3 linked regions of the Astyanax mexicanus genome follow. Each later gene encodes a partner of the first gene's protein in a complex. Links are inferred from orthologs where the notes say so. Each region holds a gene or a part of one and is shown in the gene's direction. Other genes may lie near its edges. The genes, in order: ranbp9, armc8 and gid4.

Region 1 (7,664 bases):
CAGAAAAGAGGAATGGAGGCACTAATTGGACTGAATTTGACTGGCAACAAAAGGTCTGGCTAGAAAATTCCAGCCCTGGTTTTACAGGGCCTGCTTTGTTGCTGTCGCGTTTGTTCTCTAGTGCTGTGTTAACAGTTATCTTTTCTCTGGCAGCCTCTCCCCACCCTTCCACAGAGTGCAGGAAAGAGTGTCCAGTGCGAATGGGTCCAGCGCCGCTCAGACGCTGCTCCAGTTTGCCCAAGCCTGCATGGCACTCTCTCTGGAACCTGTCTGTGGTGTAGCAAGAGTCTCTCAACCATGTCTGTTACTACAACAAGCCCTTGCCACAACACTGAGAGGAGAGAGGCATGATGGGTCAGCTTCCAGAGGAGGTTTTGGAAGGCTTTGGAGCCGAGGAACTGGAGTGCAAGATCTGCTACTGCCCTTACACTCTGTCTGGACGACGGCCTAAAGTGCTTGAGTGCTGCCATCGCTTGTGTGCCAAATGTTTGACCAAGATCCTTGATCTGGGAGACTCACCCCCGAATGGGGTGGTCTGTCCTTTCTGTCGCTATGTTACTGGACTCCCTGGAGAGGCTGTGGCAAGTCTGCCGGACGATTGCAACCTTGTGACGGCATTAACCATCCGTACCCGCTTTTATTCCAGCCTTCGGGAGAACCACCAGGGCGAGATCTTGTTGAGCCCCAGATGCTTGAACACTCTAGTGGGCCACTCGGCATCAGCCTCACCTTCGTCCATACGCTCCAACTATGTGGTCATCACCATCATGGAGCCTCCACAGGAGCCGGTGGTGGGTACCAACGGGGCTGGAAGGAATCATCACTCATCCAGTCTGGACTCCATGGCCTCGGTTACCCGGCGCTGGACAGTGTGGAACTGCGCAGCCCTGCTTTGTCAGACCTCAGCCCGAGCCCTGCTGTGGCTCCTTGGGCTTCTCTACTTCAGCTCCCTACCACTAGGCGTTTACCTGCTCATCATGCAGAAGACCACGCCGGGCGTGCTGCTGGTCAGCCTGGTGCCCGTCAGTCTGCTCGTGATCATGGGGTACGGGCTTTGCCAGTGCATGTGCCATGAGTTCTGGAACTGTGTCCTGCCATGACTACCAATGGGAGGTGGACTATTTGCCCAAACTTGTTATCTAAACTGGTGACCTCACCACAGGAATTCTGGATGCATCAGTGGTGCGACAGGTTTGTGGAAATCTATGGACTCAATTTTGGTATTTTCTGTTTTATTTAAGGAAAGAGAAGTGTGTTAATTAATGACTGAGATTAAAAGTTAAGTTTGTCATGTTTTTTTAGCATTAAATTCCAAATCGCAATTGTGATTATGCCTTGGATGGGATGAACTAATGGACCCTTGATGTAACATGGCTAATGGTGTATCGGGTTAATGCCTTGATTCATCAAAAACCTGAGAATCTGAGAACTGGTCAGAATGCTCATGACACATGATCAGCATTGGAAAGACCAATATCACAATAACTATAAAACATTAAATATCATTTATCCTAAGCTGCTAAAGAGCATAATTACAACAGAGCTCCCAACAATTAAGGTGTTCTCTTGCTAATATTTTGTATAGGAAAAGTTTCCCAGAAAGGGATTAAGCTGATCTTGGACTTTGTCAGGAAACTTTTTGAAAATATTTTTACTTAGTTTTGTAATCCACCAAATATATTCAATTACAAGAGTGTCTGTGTATTGTTTTTTTCCTGTGTTTCTTTTATTTCCCAGACAATTAATTAATGACAATGTAAATAATATAGATATGTGCACTGGAAAAATCTGTGTGAGTCATTGTTTCAATGAGGGAGAGATGTTGTATGTTGGCCACATATGAGTATGCTAATAAAGTATTTAGCCTACCTTAGCAGGCCTTTAACCTGAAACCTATTGGCATCAATTTGTAAAATGAATGATTCTTTAAATAAAATAAAAATAGGTATTTATTGTATATTTATATGGGACTTGACTATGAGTTGGTATACTCTTGGTTCATTTCTGGTTTGCAAACTGTTTGGAAAATGTTCCCATCTGTTCAAATAATTTTACATTCAAATTTCTAGTTTCTATAAACATTCAGTTATTTTATTTCTTTACTTATTTTTAAGTTAAAGCAGCAGTACTTAAGATTTATTTAAAACAGTTGTTCTCCTTGGTTGGGAGTACAACTCATTGCAAGCCAAATATATTATATATAGATTTTTTTCTGGTTACTTGAGCAAACATGGTGATGGTATTGTTGCTGATACAAACTCAGTCTGTTCATTCTCACACTGGTTAATCAATGAAACACAGAATTAGAGCTGAAAAGAGCTGGCAAGAAAAACGAGACCAGATTCATCCGCTCTAACAGGAAACCGCACCACAACAGACTTCTAAAAAGTACTCTTCCACATGCTTGATTCAGTTACACATTCTTTTTTTACATTTAATTTCAAATTTTTATCCCATTTTCTCTCCAATTTACACAGCCAATTACCCAACCCACTCATTAGGACTCCCCATATCACTAGTGGCAGGCGTATGTATCTTTATAGAGAACACTTAAGTACGAAACAAGGACAGTAGAAAAACATGAGAACATGCATTGTGCTGAGAAATTTGGCTGCATACAATTCACGCTAAGTTGTACTTTATGTAATATATTGCGTCTCATGAGAATATAGCTTTTATGTCAAAAAGTTAAGTTGCTCTGGATAAGGCTGTCTGCTATATACCTTAAATAAAAATGTAAAATAGGATTTTTATCCTCTGTATTTTTAGAAGTTCAGAGGTTTCTCTTAAATCACTGTAATGGACAATAATTTTGAGACCAGAGGACATCCTGGGCTTTCTTGTGAGGCTTTCTTTGATAGTGTCAAAACAGTGCACAATTACTTTTTAAAATTTCAGTTTTTACAGATATTGTTTCTGCTGCTAATAATCAAAATGTTTTTTTAAATATTTTTGTTAACTTCATACTGTAATTTTAACTATTTCAAACCACATTTTATGAATCACTTTTATTTAGTGTCCTCTGTGGTAAACAACAGGGCTTACTGAATCGCATTTTTATCTGGTTCCCATACCTGTAAAATCTGAGGGCTGAGTGAGGCTAAAAGGATTTCACTCAGAATTGTGAAAGGGAACACAAATGCAGAGCTCTCAGATAAATTAGAGAATGGCAGGATAGTAGAGCAGGAAGTGAAAGGTCAGAGAATGATCTAGAGTCTGAAAAGGACCAATCAGCTTTTTAGAGGGCTGAGCAGAAACTTTCAGTTATTTTGGTTTTGGAAAGATTTTGGAGCAGACAAACTAGTGGGAGGTGCAAATCTCTGGAAGAAGCTTTTCATAGGACAAAAGAGACAAGTGATTAGTATGTTTGTCTTCCAGCGCTGGAGTCCTGTGTTCAAGTCCCTATCTGGGTGAAGGTTTCATGTTCTCTTTGTGTCAGTGTGGGTCTCCTCAGGTTCCTCATGTTAATTAGTTGCACTTATAATTGCCTAGAAAAAAATGGATAACCTAAATTTGTCTGTTATTTATGTACGACTGTATGCCCAGATATGGACTGGCACTCTGTGCTGGGTAAACTCGATGTAGCCGATGTAGCCCTCCAAGTGGATTTCCGGTTGTGAGTACCAATTGGCTGGCACTTCTCACTGGTGAGTGTTGAACAGTGTAAGTGATTGTGTGTGGAATGTAATTATAAGTGTCTTTGAGTGCCTAGAAAGTAAATATCTCATGATGATATCGTCACCTTCCTAAAATAATTCACCTTTTTTTTGCCTAAATCATCTCCTCATAGTGCTGCATGGTACCTGTGGTAAAATCATCTACATACTCAGCAGATCCTTTGATTCTACCCCTTTAGGATAATGGCCTAGTGTGTCAATAGTGTGACTTTAGCTAATTTATTTATGTTTTATTAATTTTTTTAAACTAAATCTACAATAACTACATTATTCTGGGTACGTGATTCAGTCAGTAATTGATGAGATTTTTACTTCAATATCAAATTTTCTTCATATTAATAAAGCCCACAAGCTGTAAAGATGGCATAGTAGTTTAGTATTATTATTGAGTTAGATTTTTTTTTTAGTCTGTATTTTTGTGTCTGTTAAAATGTTATCTGTTTTCTGTCTTTTTAATCAATATTTTAAAAACTGACTGTATAATAAACTAATCTCTTAAACCACTGCACTCATTATTAAATAGCCATTACAACTGTGATGTGTTTTTTATGTTTCCTGAAAAAATAAGTTATGGTAGGAGGGTGTTGATATGTCTCATTTGGCTGCAAAATGTTCTTCGCACGGCGATTTGTATTTCATTATTTAAAAATGCTGTAAATGCTCCACAACGACAGAAACACTCAAAACTTGAATGTCAGCGTGTGTCTGCATTTAGAAAAATACTGCCAGTAAATGAATAGTTTAAAAACTCTGATTATCGAATATTAATATAATTTTTTGAACTTCATGACCTTTTAAAGCGATGTTAAGAGAGCCTGTAATATTATTGACAGCCTGCTCCTCTATCAACTCCTCCAGAAGTGTGACTGGACTGAGCGAGAGCCAATCAGAGGAGCGGATTTCTCACCAACAACAAACAAAAGATCTGGCTCAGGCATCCACTGCGCTTTCTCCATGTCTTTCTCTTAATTAACAGCCATCTAATAGCTGAATGTCAGCCTGGACGGCGACATTAAAGTCTCTGCTCGGTATCTGATCGCTTCCGTCTCCTCGGCACTGCGCTGTTATCCGCTGAGCTGCCCCGTCCTTTCGCCTACCAGCCGCTGTCGGAGATCCGTTTGCTCGCTGCTAGCTGAGCTAGCTAGCTGTGGGAGCTAGCGGGCTAGCGGGGCTAGCGGAGCGGGGAGAGGAGCCCCCAAAACCGCTCGGAAACCACGGCCAGCGGGCGTGTTGTGGCGGCTGACAGCAGACGCAGCAGATCCCTGGCTGCTGCTGGATAGCGAGCTGTCCAGCTGAGAGTAGCTGGCTGGTAAGCGGTCGGTGTGGAAGGGAGGAATCTGGCCGAGATGTCCGGACCGTCATCGGGCTGCGGGTTTCTGATGTCGGTCGTTGTTCACGGGGACTTGGCTCTGAACGAGCAGGAGAAGGAGCTGAACCAGCGGCTCAGGCGCCTCTACCCGGCCGTCAACGAACAAGAAACGCCGCTGCCAAGATCGTGGAGCCCGAAGGACAAGTTTAGCTACATCGGCCTGTCTCAGAACAACCTCCGGGTGCATTATAAAGGTAAATCCACACTGCAGCAGCAACATCAACAACAACATAAACAACAGCAGCAGCTGAAGCAGCAGGGCTACCTAACTGGAGGAACAGCTAGCAAGCTAGCTAACCTAGTTAGCGTTAGCTAAGTCAGCTAGCTAAATGGGACCAAGTTCCTCTCCAGCGTTTGTTTTAACAGTTTTTACAGACTGGTGTTATTGCGGGATAGTTAGTTCAGTAGCTAATTAATATAGTTAGCGAAGATGTAATTGAAAGTAAAGCCTAAAGGATTTTTTTTAAGTTTAGACGTTTTAGCCCAAAATCACACCAGTCTTAGCTTACTCACTGTATCCTAGTAAATACTCACTACGCAAATCAGGTTTCACTAGTAGAAACTCGCATTTCAGATTAATAGCTAGTAATATCAGATATACAGATCAATTCAGCCATTCTGTCTAATGTAACGATCACGTTTAATATACCACAAGTCCCTAATGTAAGTTAGTTAATTTCACTGATCATATGTTTTGTGCACATACAATGTCACACTCTCTCTTGTAACGGTACATTTGTATTAGTGAAAGCGTCAATTATATATATCTACAATTATTACAGTTACTTTTTACCAGTAGAACTTGTAATTCGACATATACACCCTGACTAATAAGAATTCTAAGTTTTAAATGTCAATATTGTTGTTGATGTAGATATCTGAATGTATGTTCAATGACTGTAATACTATACACATCATAAATACACATTGCCATTAAAATACATGAATTAAAGATGGCTTGAATAAAAATATGATGCTAATCAGAATTAATTAATGGTTATTTGGACTAATCTGAATTACAGGGTTTAAACATATGGGGCTACAATTTGTACTAGTATACAATGTATAGTTATAATAAAAGTTAGATATCTATAACTAGAGTTTTGATTTAATAGTAACACTAATAATATTAATATAAAACCTAAAAAGGAAAGAGTGAAAATCAATGTAAATCAGTTGTGTAGCATACTGTATGACTAGTCAAATGTCAATTAAGCTTATGTTTCCCAGGGAATGTGACGATAGGCCTACAGAATATATTCTAGATATTTATTTTATAGATTTTTACTACTGAACATTAGTCAGTTAGCTTCATTATAGTAATCATTATACATTATATAGAAAATTAGTTTGACTGTTGAATCACAGGCCAGTTTAGTCTAATTTTAGTATAAAAGGGCTTGACATGTGAAAAGTGTAGCTTAGCTAGTTGCATTCGCTACATATAACAGGTTTGAGTGAATGAATCCTGTCTTGTAGTTAACTGTTTGACAGCTTTGTCACAAACAGGACTAGCTAGCCTGGTAGGTAAAAGCAAGCTAACTAGGTTAGCTAACGTACAAAACAAACCAGACACAAAAAGCTACGCAGTGAACGCCTTATTTAACCACGCTCACTGTTAATACTGTTGGTTAGGAGGGTATAGCCTGAATTTGAACAGTGACGGTGAAGATAATTTGAGATTACTGGAGTTTCTCCTCCAAGTTTTCAGAGTTAGCTTAGATTAGCTAGCCAGGCTGCTAGTGAGCTAACTCGACCCATTCTTCAATGAAGTCCGGAAGTAACTGTTAGCGGCTCTCTGTAAAAGAGCTAGACGACTTTCAGGACAGTTTCGTGTCCTAGTCTTCACCCTGTGTCGTTGCCCAGCTGTTAGAGCTCGCTAAAGAGCTTGTCAGAGGCTGCCTGTTGTCAGTCAGAGTCCTGGTCAGCTCGGCTGATCCGCTGTAACGTTATGTATCTAGCTGCCTGACTAAACACTGCAGCCCAGCAGCTCAGCAAGGCCCTACTGTGCTCACCGCTCGATAATGTGTTTTTATTATTATGAGCCGAGGAGACACAGCTTCTGTGTTGCTGACAGGCTAGTGGATTAGCCAGCAGGCTAACTGTATGGGCCCCCATTTTGCCTCAAACAAACAAGATAACCAACTGACCAGCTGAACAAGTTTTTACTAATGTAGCTAACCCAGCTACCCCCCTCCACTCGCTCAAGTGCCAAATGGGCTGTAGCCATTTTCCTCACCTCAGTCAGTCAGAAAGTGAGGCCGCATAAAAATGTAAGCTAAGGCAGTTTATTTAGCTCCCCTGGGTTGATTAAAGTGAGCCTGTGTTTACTCGTCTATACTGGGATGTTTTTGCCTCAATAGAACACAAGTTACATAAACATTTATGGTATAATGTTGCCTTCAATTGGCTGCAGGCTGCTGTAAACAGGTTTGACATTAATGTAGTAATTCCAGGTAGGTGACCTTCGGCCACTTGGTCAGTACAATCCCATTGTTTTGAACCTAAAATAACTCAATACAGGAAAGGCCGGGAGTATACATTGTGTTGACACGCAGTCCTGGGCATAGAAGCACAAAGGAATAATGTCTCTTAACATTTTTGTTTGTGGAGAAATA
Region 2 (7,738 bases), on another chromosome or scaffold:
AAAGATGGTTTTGCTGGTATGACCAGAAGTTCAGTCTTTGAGAGATTTAATTGAAGGTGATGCTCCTTCATCCAAGAGGATATGTCAGAGAGACACGACGATATCCGTGCAGAGATTGAGTTATCTTCAGGTGAGAATGACAGGTATAGCTGGGTGTCATCAGCAAAGCAATGGTAGGAAAAGCCATGTGAGTGGATAACCTGACCAAGAGAGGCAGTGTATATTGAGAAGAGAAGGGGACCCAGTACCGAACCCTGGGGAACCCCAGTGGATAGGGAGTGGGCTGAGGACAGCTGTCCTTGCCACGACACCTTGAACGAGCGCCCAGTGAGGTATGATCTAAACCATGACAGCACATTGTCTGAGATCCCCATGTTTGAAAGTATAGTTAGGATATATACTAGGGCTGGGAATTACAGGGAATCTCATGATACAATATATCACATCAAGATATGTTGCCCACAATTCTCTACGATACTTCACAACATATGTGTTACTGAAGAAAATTAAATACTTCTATATAAGCAAATACCAGAGATTATGGATTTATTGCTGTCAATTTCACATTTGAGAAGCACTAACACATGGAGTAATGGAGCACCCAAAAAATGCTTCACAGAGTATTTTGGTTTGTTTATCACTTTTTAAGTTACTACATGATTGATTGTGTGTTCCTTCATTGTCTGGATGACTTTAGTATTAATTTACAATGTAAAAAAAAAAAAAAAAAAAAAAAAACTAATAAAACAAATAAAAACACTGATTGAGAAGGTATGTAAGATACTTTTGGCTGGTAGAGTATAATCATTAGGGTTGTATGAAATATTGAGCAACAAAATAATTTACTTTTTTATGTTGAACCTGCTGTTAAAAATAAATGTTTTTGAAGCACAATAGCAAACAAAAAAGTGGCCAATTTTTAAAAAAAATCTGCGGACAAAAAAACGTGTTCTGTATTTGGTGTTTGAAGATATGCCATATGTGTCAATTTTGTTCTGATTCAGCTAAAAGCCTAATAATTAATATTATGGGCATACAGTTTATTGTCACGTTTTAATTTAGATTCTTACTCAATTTAAGCAACACAAACAGGTACATATTCAAACCCCTTTCAGCCTCCAGCACAGTCCGGCTCACCTGTTTGAGCTTAAAAACATCACTGTTCCTGATGTGGTAGACACTGCGCAGGGTCTCTTGGTTGTAAGGTGGAAACTCAAAGTGTCCTGAAACAGATTAATGAGCAGGTTCAGTATAAATGTCCAATTTATGCAATGTCATATATCTTTACTTAAATGTGTGGAGTATGCTCTGCCATTACCTTTTCTGTAATCATGGGATTTGAAAATTCCAGAAAGACCACCAATCCGTATTCCTTTGTAGCGAACAACACCAGCATAACCTGCAAAACAAGCAATACAACCCCACTTTAAATCACTGGAATAAAGATCTAAGAGAAAAACTGGAATCTGATAACATCACCTAACAATGACTGAGTTCTCAGCGTCCACAAAACTCTTAACAATAGCTTTTTTATATTATAGAAAACTGCAGTGTATGTCAAAAAATATGTGAACTAAAATTAAAATTACAATACCTCAATGACTAGGTAAAATTTATCCTATCCAAATAGGGCAACTTAGCCCAAATAGGGCAACTTAGCCCAAATAGGGCAACTTAGCCCAAATAGGGCAACTTAGCCCAATTAGGGCAACTTAGCCCAATTAGGGCAACTTAGCCCAATTAGGGCAACTTAGCCCAATTAGGGCAACTTAGCCCAATTAGGGCAACTTACAAGTAGTCCAAATAGGGTAACTTAGTCCAAATAGGGCAACTTAGCCCAATTAGGGCAACTTAGCCCAATTAGGGCAACTTAGCCCAATTAGGGCAACTTAGCCCAATTAGGGCAACTTAGCCCAATCAGGGCAACTTAGCCCAATTAGGGCAACTTTAGCCCAATTAGGGCAACTTTAGCCCAATTAGGGCAACTTAGCCCAATTAGGGCAACTTACAAGTAGTCCAAATAGGGTAACTTAGTCCAAATAGGGCAACTTAGCCCAATTAGGGCAACTTAGCCCAATTAGGGCAACTTAGCCCAATTAGGGCAACTTACAATTAGTCCAAATAGGGTAACTTAGTCCAAAAAGGTTAACTTTATACATTATACTAACAGGAACATGGATAATATTCCCACTATTGTCCATGCTTTTATTTAACATTTTCTAATTTCTAAAAGTAAAAAAACACTCAGATAATTAATACATAAATACTTCAAATCTAATCAAAGATATTAAATGATCTCAGACAAAAGAACATTCTATTATAATGTTTAGCACTTTACTTTATAGGCAATACAGCAATACAGACACAAACTCTTACCCAAATAGTAAATATTGGGGGCGACCCACCCTCCATAGGGAAGCTCCTGTAAATGGTTTGAAGCTTCATGGTTTCCCCCGATGAAGATAGTCAGGACAGGTGCTTTCTTCTCTCCAGAATAATACCTTTTACAGTGCGAATGAGATAGAAAATATTAAACAAAAAATGCAGCAGCATACACAGCTGCAGTAGATCGATCATCTACGTAAAATCTTACTTGTAAAAAGTTTGCATCTGCCTGTACTTGGTCGGCACGGCCATACACTTCATGTCCCCCTCATTCCGCACAGCCTGGAAGTCCCCACAGCACAGCAGCAGGTCCACCTTGAGGCCTTCCTTGCGCTCCAGGTGGCTGATGGTCTCGTATATCTTGTCCAGTTCGCCATGGCAGCAGCCTTCAACAGCTATTTTCATATCCGTAGATGTTAAAGTCCAGATTTTGTTTTAAAAAAATAAATATTGCTAACACAGGAAAAAGTGCTTCTTCAGACAGAGTCTTATTAAATCCAGGAACTCTGAGTCGTGCATATCCAGACCAGTGAACCTATTGACAGGACAAAGGTCACATTAGTCCAATATGTTAAACATGGTGGGGGTTTTCACATGGACACATTGGACAGATACAGATATAGCATAAAATCAATAGAAATGCATTTTAAGTAGAATGGTAGTTAGACTCTGGAGGAACGTCCAACAACCACACAAGCCTGTTAACCATCAAACTAAAACATAAATCATAACCCTGTACTGGTCAGAATCTAGCTAAGCTAGTCAACCAGCTTGACCAGTTTGAGTTGATTATCTTTTTTTCTTCAGCAGGTTATTCACATATTTTAACTTGTCAGTTTTAGGGTTTAAGAAGTGATAGACGCTGCTCATCAGGTAACGTTAGCTGAATAACTGCAACAAAACGGAATTATCCGTTCCACCTTAAATTACTTATTACGTATTAGCTAACGTATTGGCGCCTGAACAGACGCCAGGCAGTAAAGGCTGCAGTATTTAAGGTGGACCGGACAATTCGAAACAGAAGCCCACGACACGGCACGAAATGGAAGATTATACAGCTAAATTAAAACTGCAAGCACACAAACAACATTTCTGACATTATTCCATCAAAACAAAAAAGCTGTGTGTGTAGTCTCACCTGTATTTTAGTCGTTAAACCGCTGCTTTAACAATATTTCCCTCTCAGTGATCCAACTTACCCTCCATTATTCACCGGCCACGCATGCGCACTCGCTGTACTTTACATGGTAAAACCAGTTTTGCCAGCCACCAGCACTTTCCACTATGCAAAAATTATTTTCGTAAAAATATAAGTCACGTATAGCGCACCATTTAGTAAAATAGCGGTTTATGTTTTCTTTCCTTTAAATTTGTATCAGTAACAAAACTTTCCCAAAGAAATAAAATGATTCATAAAGCATAAAATAATAATAAGCAAAAACAGTGATTAAAAGCTTCAGTTAAACTATATACAGTACCACACACACACAAGTAAATTTAATATAGACGTTAAATCTATACAGGAACACGTGGAACTATGTAGTTTATTCATTACTTTACAGATTAATATGTAGATTAATTATGTTCTCTCTCTCTCTCTCTCTCTCTCTCTCTCTCTCTCTCTCTCTCTCTCTCTCTCTCTCTCTGTCTCTCTCTCTCTCTCTTCTCACACCCCTACACACACTCACTCGCGTAGTCATGCACACAGAGCTGATGGCACGTTTCCTCTTTTCAAGCTGTTCAATGTGAAATATGGATGTAAACTAGCGTATATTTTCTATATTCAAAATCCCAGTTAAACTCAGCAACTCGGCTCGTTACAATAGTGTAGTTTAAAAAGCAAAACTACCCTGAGATATTGTAATACAGTAAAAAAAGAACCCTTCATAAAATGAAAGCCTTAAGGAATTTTAGGAAGGGGACATAAAATCTGATTTTTGTTTTACCGTATTATAATATATTTTTCTACCAGTATTAAAAATATGTAATCATGATTTCATCTGTGATTTAATCACAGAATATTGTTGTGATCAATACAAGAAAGGGACTGGCACCAATAACATAAATGTTTCATGTTTCTAAAAGTGATTCTTGTTTAAAATACAGTTTATCAAAAGCGTAATCTTTTCTTAAGGAAGATAGGATGTAATTAATGGTGTCTAATCACAGGATGTTCGTGTGATTAGCGTTAATTAGATAAAACAAAATTTATGAGAAGAGGTGTGTCCAAATTTTGACTGGCTCTCTCTCTCTCTCAGGTGTGTGTGTGTGGAAAGTGCCGCTCGTGTTCCCCGGCTGTTCGGACACAGAGAGATGGCGTGTCTGCTGGAGGCCCCGCTGCGCATCAGCGTGCTGTCCGTAAGTCCGAGCCCCTAAATCTTCCTCTAACCCCGCTGTTTTTCGCGTGTCCCGCGGCTCACACCTGCAACCGGAGCCGTGGAACCTAGTGCGGTGTTTGGTCTGAAGTGCAGTGCATTAGTTGAGCGTGTTTGTGCGGAGCACCGCGGGTGGATCGGGTCGGTCAGGCGGAGTTAACTCACTCACCGGCGGCGCTACAGAGCCGGGAGAGCTGGGGTTAGCTCCGGCTAGCCGACCTGCAGAGCCCCGCAGCGCCCTGCACTGCCCGACAGCTGGTTTAACTCCATCCAGCAGAGCGAGCCCGCTTGTTTATTAGTCTATTGCCTGGAAAAGGTGCTTAATTTCGGGTTTAGTTAGAACGCTGGCTAAACACCCGGAGCTTTAGCTAGCTGCCACTGAAGTTGGGTGACTTTCTGGGCTGCTGTTTAGCCCTGTATTTGCTCGGCTAGCTAGCTCTAATCAACCTCTATCTGTCTAACTTGCTAAGGCTAACGTAGCCAAGCTAGCCCTACTGTGTTTACTGAATCCCAGGCTGTCAGCTTTAGCTAACAAGCCTGGCAGGTCTAACCTATATATAGCTAGATAGCTAACTAGCAGATGTATGTTGGTTTGATTATGTGCCAATAGAGAGGTAGCTAATTAGTTAGTTAGCTAACCTTGTGTGAAACTTCAACCATAAAGCTAACTCTAGCTTAGCTAGCTAGCCATGTCAAACTGCCAAGCTAATTGGCTAACTCATGCTAGCCGCTGGAAACGCCCCCGTCTTGTTGAGTTCTATACTGTCAAAAAATTAGCAGCTTCAACTCAAAAACTTAAGTAAGTTACAAAAGCTGTTAAAGTATAAAATTTTATTTAAAGTGAATTTACTATTTACGTTATGTCTGATTTGGCTTTGGACGCATCTACGCATTGTTACACCAGTAATAGCACCGTTACAAAGTAAAAAAAAAAAAAAAAGAAAAGCAGTGTGAAAGACTGGTGGAGAAGAACATGCCAAGATGCATGAAAACTGTGATTAAATAATTAATTGATTCCACCGAATATTGTTTTCTGAACTCTTAAACTTTGTGAATATTGTGAATATCTTTGCATTATTTGATGTATAAAAGCTCTGCATCTTTTTTTATTTCAGCTATTTTAAATGCTCTAAATGACAGTATGTTTATTTGGAATTTGGGAAAAATGTTGTCTGTAGTTTATAGAGTAAAACAAAGTTCATTTTACTCAAAACATATACCTATAAATAGCAAAGTTGTCTCTTATTTGTTTCCAGAGCTGTAAGTGAAACTCATGCATGCAGCAAATAGCAACTTGCTCTTATAGCCGTTAACACCCAGGCTTGCTAGGCAGTACTTTTTAAGCTTGTAACCCAACTTTATGCAAACAATAAAATGAAAGCGCTACCTGGTCCTCACCTGGAGAACAGGTTAAGTAAAACTAAAGATCTATTTAAACTAGTAAAAATAAATACAATATATACATCAAGCATCGGTTTAAAATATGTCGACTCTAATGTCGGTTTCCAAAATGCATTCGCATATAACTAGTCTTTTTTTGTTTGTTTTTTTGTTTTTAAATAATGTTTTTGTTATTAAACTTTCAGTGTTTGACTACTGTTTGTTTAATTCATTGTGCATTGAATTCAGCTGCTCAGCCACGTAAACCCATTTCATGAAGCTCTCTACTTTCAACTCTTCTTGAGCTAATCTGAAGGCCACATGATGTTTGGAGGTTTGTAGCGATTGAGGTCTGTAGCGTGAATCCCTGTACTAACTATTCCGCAGTCAATTTTCAGTAATAATATAACGAAGTGGGAGTGACTGGAAACGACAGCAACTCTACCACAAATGGCAGGTCACGTAAAAAGGCAGAGCAGGGTCAATGGATAGGTTTCCTTGGCCAAACAGCTGCATTTAATACTTGAATTGAATTAAGAAGTCAAACAGTAGTCAAAACCTGGGATTGTAATAACACAAAGCATAAAAAACACAAAAAATAAAATTTGTGCATTATGGAAATGTGTTTTTTGATTGACTGCCTTGTGGTGTGTTCATAAAAGCACATTATATTCACAGATACTTATATTGTTTTTATATATTGTTTTTATGTTTTGAAATACTCTCTTCTTTGTACTCTATACTTGTTGCAAAAACGCAGTGACATTTTTCAAGTTTTTGATAAGGGTGTGTAATTGCACCAAGCATGATAAAAAATACTATTAAAATAATTCTAGCAAGGATTCCTTTGCCCTCTTCTTTAGGTCACCAGCTAGCTCTTGTATCAGCACCATTATCAGCAGCATAGTTGCTCAGGTAACCAGGAATAGCTGTTATAACCCGAAGAAGACCTGGGGACCTACCAGACACACTGTGTTCAGGAATAATATATTTGGCTTTGCAGGAATGGTAGCAGAAGCACATAAATGTCATTTATGTGGCATGGTGGGTGGTGTGGTGCAGTGGATAACCCGACCGCCTGATAGTGAGCTACTGTTGTGGAGACACGGGTTCAATTCCAGGTCTGGGTGACTGGAGGCTGTGCTACACCAATAAGAGTCCCTGGACAAGACTCCTAACACTACATTGGCCCACCTGTGTAATAGAAATAATCTTGTAAGTCACTCTGGATGATAGCATCGGCTAAATGCTGTAAACGTACATTTATTTTAACAAGATTTAATTAACAAGATATAATATTAAGGACAGCTGTGTTTAATCATTTAATTAATTACCCAACAACCCCTGGGCTCCTCATATTTTATACGTATGATTCCATGTTTTATACTTATACTGAACTAATTATATTGTCTTACTTGCATTGTGTGTTAGGGAGGGGAGTTTAGGTGTTTTAAGGTGGAGGAAGGGATAGGGTAACATACCTCACAGGTAGATCCGTTGGTCTGGTTGTTTTAAACAAACTAAAGACTAATTTATGATGGATGTAGGATCTCACAATGAGATTTTTGGCCCATATCATGGAAAATATTTATTTTGGG
Region 3 (7,815 bases), on another chromosome or scaffold:
CCCAACCCACTCATTAGGACTCCCCCTATCACTAGTGATGCCCCAACACACCAGGAGGGTGAAGACTAACACATGCTTCCTCCGATACATGTGAAGCCAGCCACCGCTTCTTTTCGAGCTGCTGCTGATGCAGCATTACCGAGCAGCCAGCGCGCTTGGAGGAAAGCACAGCGGCTCGGCTCCGGAACATCAGCTCACAGACGCCCTGTGCTGCAGACATCACCCTAGGAGTGATGTGGGGAGAGAGCGCCATCTACCCACCCGGAGGGAGCAGGGCCAATTTTGCTCCCTCTGACGCCGGCAGCTTGATGGCAAAGCTGCATGAGCTGGGGTTCGAACCTGCGACCTCCTGCTCATAGTGGCAGCGCCTTAGACCGCTGGACCACTCGGCGCCCAAAATTTAATTTACTTTTAATGTTGTTTTAGGAAACTATAGGGTGGGCTTGGGTTTATATTGGCAAATATGCCCCCCCCAATATCAAGCCCGCTCCTACGCCCTTGCCTACAACGGCTCATTTATAAGTACAGTATCATACACACCATATTATACAAACAACACAAATTACATGTAATACCCTTGTAAAACACCAACCCATGATATTAACTAGAACTGCTTTTAATAGCAGCTGGATTTTACCTAAAGGCCTGTTTGCACCTGTAGTATCTGGGTTCTGCAAGATGGTTCTCACATTCTTTTTAGGGCTCTATTCAACAGACTATTTAAAGTGCAAGGGAACAAATTTCACCCCTCTCATCTACCGGCAAGCACACTGAATCTGATCATGTTTTGATTGTGAATTGTGGTCCTTCTCTGACCACCTTTGAATGTGGTTTAATTGGTCCAGTTGTAATCCAATCACAATGCTTATTGTGAACAGGCCCAAATATAGTGTCATATTGATGCCAGGTTTTTAGGGATTTATTGGTTCCTTAATGATGTAAATACGTGAAAATGCTGTCATGCCATGATTTGTAAAAACCCAAGAATATAAAATCCAAACTCTGTTTGATTCTGTTTGTATTCTAGGTGATGGCAGAGATGCAGAAGATAACTGACCCAGAGCTGTTGGAGGCCCAAAGAGATAACTATAGTGAGAAGATTTCCCAACTGTCTGACACTCTCATGACCCTGGAGCTACAGCTGGTGGACCAACTAGAGGTAATATGTTTACGTTAAAATTGCTGGCCATATAAAAGAAAATATAATAAGATAGAAATAATGTAAATAATATTAATAGCTAGGGGTTTAGATCTTGGGGCTGTGATGTACGCTGTGAAGATGGGTGCACTTTTGGTGGGCATTTTTCCTCACGTATGTCTAACCACTCAGGGAAAAATTATTTAAATTACAAATGATAAACTGATTTAGACAACAATAAATTAACTATAAGCAAAGTAAGTAAAGTAACTGTTTGTAACTTTCTTTTCACAGGATGTCTTCAAAGAATTTGAGAGGAACATCTCAGACATGGTTGGAGCCTTTATTGAAAATGTGCAAGGGATATATCCTTTAACTGCTTTACCAGTGCAGAGCCACCTGTGATTTCTGGATTTTACCACTCCACTTGTATAATCTGGGGGCAACAAGGCCAGTTTTCATTGTTTTAGATGTAGTGACCTAATAGTAATTCTTACAGTGTAATAAAGTCATAGAGTATAAATTCACTGTCATGGAGAATGATGTCTCTAATGCTTATTTTTCAAATTAGCATCCTTAACCCTGCCCCACATTTGCACAATGCAGAGAACTGGAGAAGCACTATCATGAGAAACTACAGGAGATTGCTTTGGCCACGCTAGAGAAAATGGCAAGGAATGAACTGGAGGAGGATATGCCTGAAGACATGCACTTGGTCAGTAAGAAACATTTAATTATGAATTTGTTTGGATGTCATTTAGTTGATATTTAACAATCATTGTACAATATGGCACCAGGCTAATTTAGTGTATAGCCAATATATAGCCAGCGTTATACCAGCATGTGAAATATCATGGGATAGCAGTATGTAAATTGATCATGAAGTGTTACCTTAAGGCAGGGCTTGGTAACACCCACACCTGTATATGTTGTGAGGTGTTATGAGTAAGGTTGAACACTGGCCAGTGTGCTCATGGTAATGTGAATTATCATTGAGTTGGTGTGAGGCCTGATAATGGGTAAGTTCTGTGTGACATGGCAAAAGTCATGAAACACACATCTAGTCCCGTTTTTTTTGCCCTTCTTATCAACTTCAAGAGCTGACTGTTCACTTGCTGCCTATGTATTGTATATCCCAGCGCTGGATAGATACCATTGTAGTGAGATAATTGTCAAATGTCATTGACTTTACTTTGCCTCAGGTTTTAATGTTATTGCTACTCATTTGAGATTATAATTGATTACAGTAGCCTTAAAAACGCCATTAAATTGCTTCATTTTTTTACACCCCATTACACAAGAAATATTGTACTATAACAGATGAACCTGTTCTCTGCTCTGCTCTGTGCTGCCCTCTAGCTTTTAGTAGATAAGGACACTGTGGTCAAAGCTGTCAGTGCCTCTCATGACACACACCAGCTGAAGATAGATAACAGGGAGGATGAGCTTATGACACGGATCAATAGCTGGATGAGTGCAATGATGAAGTCGGTAAGACACGCCTATACTGACATGACCCTTTAACTTCAATAGGTACAGTATGTATTAACAATATTAAAGAGGAACATGCTTGGATTGTCACTGTGAATTTTTTTTTTTAACATTAAATAATGAATTGTAATATATATATATATATATATATATATATATATATATATATATATATATACACATATATATGTATATATATACGTGTATATATATATATATATATATATATACACGTATATATATATATATATATATATATATATATATATATATATATATACGTATATATACATATATATATACACGTATATATATATATATATATATATATACATATATATACGTATATATATATATATATATATATACGTATATATATATATATATATATATATATATATATATATATATACACGTATATATACACATATATATGTATATATATGTGTATATATATATATATATATATATATATATATATATATATATATATATATATATATATATATATAATAGAATATTGTATATTCAGTACTATGATAATTTAGACTTTGTCCAATATCTCCAAAAAAAAGCACAATGTTTCATGTTAACAGGTACAGGATGAGGAGGTGACACGGAATCGCAAGCGTATCTCGGAGATCCGTAACTATCTTGAGTATGTGAGGAACCAGCTGGATGAAATCATTTTGCCTGAGCAACAATGAGCAGGGACTTTTAAAGACATTTTCACCCTTTTTTGTATTTATAAGCGAACTTACAGAATGTTAGAAAGCCATATGAAGAAGAATTAACAACTGTTACACACATTTCTTATTTGACTAGATGAGATTACAAATATTTAATTTTAAAATATAGATTTAAAACACAAAAACACATTATTTTAAATAATGATCAGAAGTATAATAAAAAAAAAAATATATATATATATATATATATATGTATGTAGGCCATATTACACTATTTGTACATGTTTTGTATTATTATTATTATTATTTATTTATTTTTTTTATTATCGAAAAAAAAAATTGATCTTGTAGCTTTTTTGATTTGTGTATTTCTTGCACACTTACCCCACCTACAGGGAGAGGTTGATACTACAAGAAGGAGAGAAGAAGGAGTGGACATAATTGGCCCTTTCTCAAGTGTGTGTGTGTGTGTGTGTGTGTGTATCCGCTCAAAATGATGCTTGTTAAATAGCTGTTCCACATACGCCGCTCATGAGGTCAGTGCTCAGTAAGGAAACAAAACACAATGTGCATCATAATAATGTGCTCATTTTAATTTTAAAATATGTTGTTTAATAGCACTTTTTTATGATTGCATGATGCATTATGTATATATGTATCGTGCAAGTAAAGTAAAGTGTCAGTCCACTGTAAACAGTATAGCAGGTAAATGGTCTGTAAACAGTATTGTAAACAGTAAGGTCCATGTATAACATAATAAGTGAATGAGTGCTGTTGTCTGATAAGCTGTGAAGTTTTAATTTACTCATTTTGATTTCATGCATATGATGGTGTTTTGCACTGACACCTTATATAGAAAATACAATATATTGTAATTGCAGTATATTGCTTACAAATCCCTGCATTATGATACACAACATGTTGCTTAAGCTTTTTTCCTGGACACCTCTCTACTAACTCTACTCTGTAATGAAATTTGTTTGTCAGTGGTCATTAATTTCCCTACATGTCTGTTTACATTAGGTTGCATTTTACTGACACGCTGCAGGCCCTGCCGCTGGTTGTGAAAAGCATTTTACAGCTTTACATATGCATGATAAATATGTAAGATTCAGTCATTTTTTTTTAAGTTACATTAACCTTGGAAAACATTCATTAAACAGCAATTTTACAGAAAAAAATACTTATTGTACTTTTGAGGGTTTTTTTTCATTTTCTGTGATAAAATGTGATTTTGCATTCTTGACTGATTCTTAGAATCGTGTTTGTGTAGATTTTATAATTAAATAAAAATCCAACTTTAATTAAGAGTTTATATCAGAGCTCCAAACTCATTAATTTTAGCTAACGAACAGCCTGCAAATCCCAGCATGCTCTTCCACCCAAACGCTCGTGACCGTTGCGTCCCGCCGATACGTGACTACGTCCGACTCCACCATCCAATCAGAGCCCAGTGCTGATTTTGACGACGCACGGTGAAGAGAAGCCCAGGCTCAGATGCCGAAAGGTTGAGCGGAGCGGGAGCGGAGACCGTGGGCTCACGACCCGCCGCCAATGTGCCCGTCTCTCCTCTCGTTTTGAACCCGGTCCGTGTGTCGTGAGCTCACCTGCGCTCGGGGTTCAGCCCGCTGAAGCGTCTCCAACATGCCGGTCCGTACAGAGTGCTGCTCCTGTTCGCCTGCGGCCTGCGGAGCCTCGGCCTCTCTGGTGCCGCCGCCGCCGATCAACACGCAGCAGCCCGGGGTGGCCACCTCCCTGCTGTACAGCGGCTCTCAGTTTCGGGGCCACCAGAAGAGCAAAGGCAACTCTTACGATGTGGAAGTGGTTCTGCAGGTACGTGACTAGCTAGAACTAAATGGCTTCAGTTGAATCACAAGTTGGCAAACCAGCTGGTTTGTTTAGTATCTTAGCTTACCTAGCTTTTGGGCTGGATCCAGGTAGCTAGCTTGCTAGTTTAACCCGCCACTTGTTTGCTTACTAGTAGCAGACGTACCCTTCACACTATTTAGGTTACCTAACTAGCTAGTTAGGTATTTACCCCTCAAATAAGTTACCTTAATCAGTAAATATTCTGAAGTTCAAAAAAAGTGTGTTTTTTGTAAGCAAAGCCAGCAAAGCTTTATTCATTTATTTATTTTGGATGTTTTCGAGTCTGCTGTCTACTCATTCAGTCCTAGAGACGTCATTTTAGTGATACCAGCTGTAAAAAGTAATAACCAATATAACCTAAGTCTTGTCAGTGTAATGTTTCAGTTCAATTTTCTCACATTTTAGACAAAATTCATAAGCAGAAAATTGCATGTAATTAACCCGTCAGTGTTTTTTTTTCTTTTTCTTTTTTTAGCTGGTATAGCTAGCTAGTAAAGAAGAACTTGGTGTGCATCTATTTTTCAAAAGTTTGTCATTCACTTATGCCCCTTACAATTTAATTTCATGTTTCTTCATGTATCCAAAATCTGGTGATATGTTATTTTTGCTAGCTACGAAATTGTAAATCTTTTATTTTCATTTTCCCGGCTAGATTGTGAGGGGCATGAACATTCTTCAGGTTGCTATACTAAACTAGGGAACAAAATAATATTTGTAACTTATATAAGCTACTAAAGTTTTACACACGACTTTCTGTATTGAAAATTGAGCTGGTAAACATTACACTGACTCTTATATCCCATTATGATATCATATCACATTCTCCAAATTTCAATTTTAATAAACAGTGTTATTAATGTACAAAGTGTTATTGATACTTCTTCCCACAAACTGCACTGGTATCAGTTAAAATTAATCTCACCACGTTTACTGTTTTCCTTTGTTGCTCATTTATTTATTTTTATTTAATCATTTTTCCTTTAATATAGTTATATATATTTTGAGAATAATATAACTATTTCACTCTGTGACGTTTGACAGTTCATGTAAACTAACGCTAGCTAGCTTAGCTAGCTTATGTGGCTAATTTCACTCAAACAAGACTGTATGATTTGTCATTTAGCTTACGTTAGCTAACTAGCCTAGTTAACCTGACTAGCTTATACGGTTAACTACACCGCTGACTAGCTAAGCTAACTACATTAGACAGGTAAGCTAATTTAAACGACAAACATAGCTAGCAGCTAACTGGCTACTTGCTAAGAGTTAGCCAGTTAACCTAGCTAGCTAATGCGTTTTGTGGGCATTGATAGCTAGCTACGTAGCTAATGTGTCCTCCGTATGTTTAGTAAGCTAGCCACCTGAGTAGCACCGATGACTTATTAGCTAACCCAGCAGCTAACCTACCTAGCTAACAAGATACGCGATAGCTGCTCTTTCCAGGCAGTATGTACCTAAGCTAGGTAATGTGTTCCTAATGTATCTAAAACCAAGGCCAGTGTTTGGACCTCCTTTATCCCCTGAAGTGTTCTGTGTGAAATTTGGCTGGGCACACAGGTGACTGTATTCCTTTAGACATGTTATCTAGCGTTAGCTACCGCTCTGCCCCACATTTACTGCCTGTAACGCAGTAGTGAAGCTCTGTCAAGCATGTTCCAGCGCCAGTGCAACACAAGGGAAGCCGTTTTAGTCTAAAATCACACTAGTTAACTATTCAAGTCCTATCCAGAGGTGTAATAATATTAATAGAAGTAGAACTGGCTAACTACCGTACTTAGGTAGTTACTAAAATGCTGTATCTGTATCTGCTGGAGTATTAAAATTACTTCACTACTGTATTTAAGAACTACAATGCTGTATCTATCTACTGGATTATTATTTTTACTTCACTACTATATTTAAGTACTAAAATGCTGTATCTGTATCTGCTGGAATATTAATATTACTTCACTACTGTATTTAAGAACTACAATGCTGTATCTATCTACTGGAGTATTATTTTTACTTCACTACTGTATTTAAGTACTAAAATGCTGTATTTGTATCTGCTGGAGTATTATTTTAACTTCACTACTGTACTTAAGTACTAAAATGCTGTATCTGTATCTGCTGGAGTATTAATATTACTTCACTACTATATTTAAGTACTAAAATGCTGTATCTGTATCTGCTGGAGTATTAATATTACTTTACTACTATATTTAAGTACTAAAATGCTGTATCTGTATCTGCTGGAGTATTATTTTTACTTCACTACTGTACTTAAGTACTAAAATGCTGTATCTCTCTAATAGAGTATTATTTTTTTCCTAGTTCTCTTACTTCTACGTTTACTATACTAGCATTACATATTTTCCATAAGTGTAATACTTTTACTCTCGTACATTTTTATGTGCTGCATCATTACTTGTTACAATTATTAAAATGTTAGGGATTATTTCAAACCCATATCAAATTATATCAAGCCAGAGCGGTAGATGCTTTGCACTTTCACCAGGTTTGATGAAGCTTTTCATCGTTGAGAGAATCAAGCAATCACGCCGATCTTATAAGAAGACCTCACTGCTCCCGTTCCGCCTTTCAACAGTACTGTACTTTTACATGCAGTACATCACTACTACATTTTAC

The links.
Region 2: the proteins of ranbp9 (region 1) and armc8 are in contact, whole or in part, in a cryo-EM structure (PDB 7NSC), measured with the Homo sapiens proteins. The link is inferred for Astyanax mexicanus from reciprocal best matches to the Homo sapiens genes RANBP9 and ARMC8. Residues at the interface, in NP_005484.2 of Homo sapiens: Tyr271, Gly298, His299, Ser300, Leu301, Gly302, Ile303, Asp337, Asp340, Tyr341, Arg343, Glu344, Thr347; in NP_001350870.1 of Homo sapiens: Gln245, Arg246, Asp247, Val277, Leu278, Lys279, Ile317, Ile320, Thr321, Asp322, His323.
Region 3: the proteins of ranbp9 (region 1) and gid4 are in contact, whole or in part, in a cryo-EM structure (PDB 7NSC), measured with the Homo sapiens proteins. The link is inferred for Astyanax mexicanus from reciprocal best matches to the Homo sapiens genes RANBP9 and GID4. Residues at the interface, in NP_005484.2 of Homo sapiens: Ser223, Lys224, Gly225, Arg226, Asp227, Gly228, Tyr229, Met230, Gly256, Asp257, Thr274, Phe275, Thr276, Thr277; in NP_076957.3 of Homo sapiens: Leu187, Arg189, Asp194, Glu195, Asn216, Asp218.

Annotation. Positions count from the first base shown.
Region 1 is NC_064415.1:42,231,620-42,239,283, forward strand, and holds the start of ranbp9 (ran-binding protein 9), read left to right. Parts: upstream 1-4,563; 5' UTR 4,564-5,023; coding exon 5,024-5,240; intron 5,241-7,664. Other genes in the region: E3 ubiquitin-protein ligase RNF182, read left to right, coding at 348-1,100. UniProt on the Homo sapiens protein: May act as scaffolding protein, and as adapter protein to couple membrane receptors to intracellular signaling pathways. Acts as a mediator of cell spreading and actin cytoskeleton rearrangement.
Region 2 is NC_064418.1:10,799,340-10,807,077, forward strand, and holds the start of armc8 (armadillo repeat-containing protein 8), read left to right. Parts: upstream 1-4,637; 5' UTR 4,638-4,698; coding exon 4,699-4,743; intron 4,744-7,738. Other genes in the region: dbr1 (lariat debranching enzyme), read right to left, coding at 1,138-1,223, 1,319-1,399, 2,377-2,501, 2,594-2,790. UniProt on the Homo sapiens protein: Component of the CTLH E3 ubiquitin-protein ligase complex that selectively accepts ubiquitin from UBE2H and mediates ubiquitination and subsequent proteasomal degradation of the transcription factor HBP1.
Region 3 is NC_064426.1:31,298,754-31,306,568, reverse strand, and holds the start of gid4 (glucose-induced degradation protein 4 homolog), read left to right. Parts: upstream 1-4,767; 5' UTR 4,768-4,962; coding exon 4,963-5,151; intron 5,152-7,815. Other genes in the region: drc3 (dynein regulatory complex subunit 3), read left to right, coding at 1,028-1,159, 1,433-1,505, 1,732-1,853, 2,498-2,629, 3,226-3,336.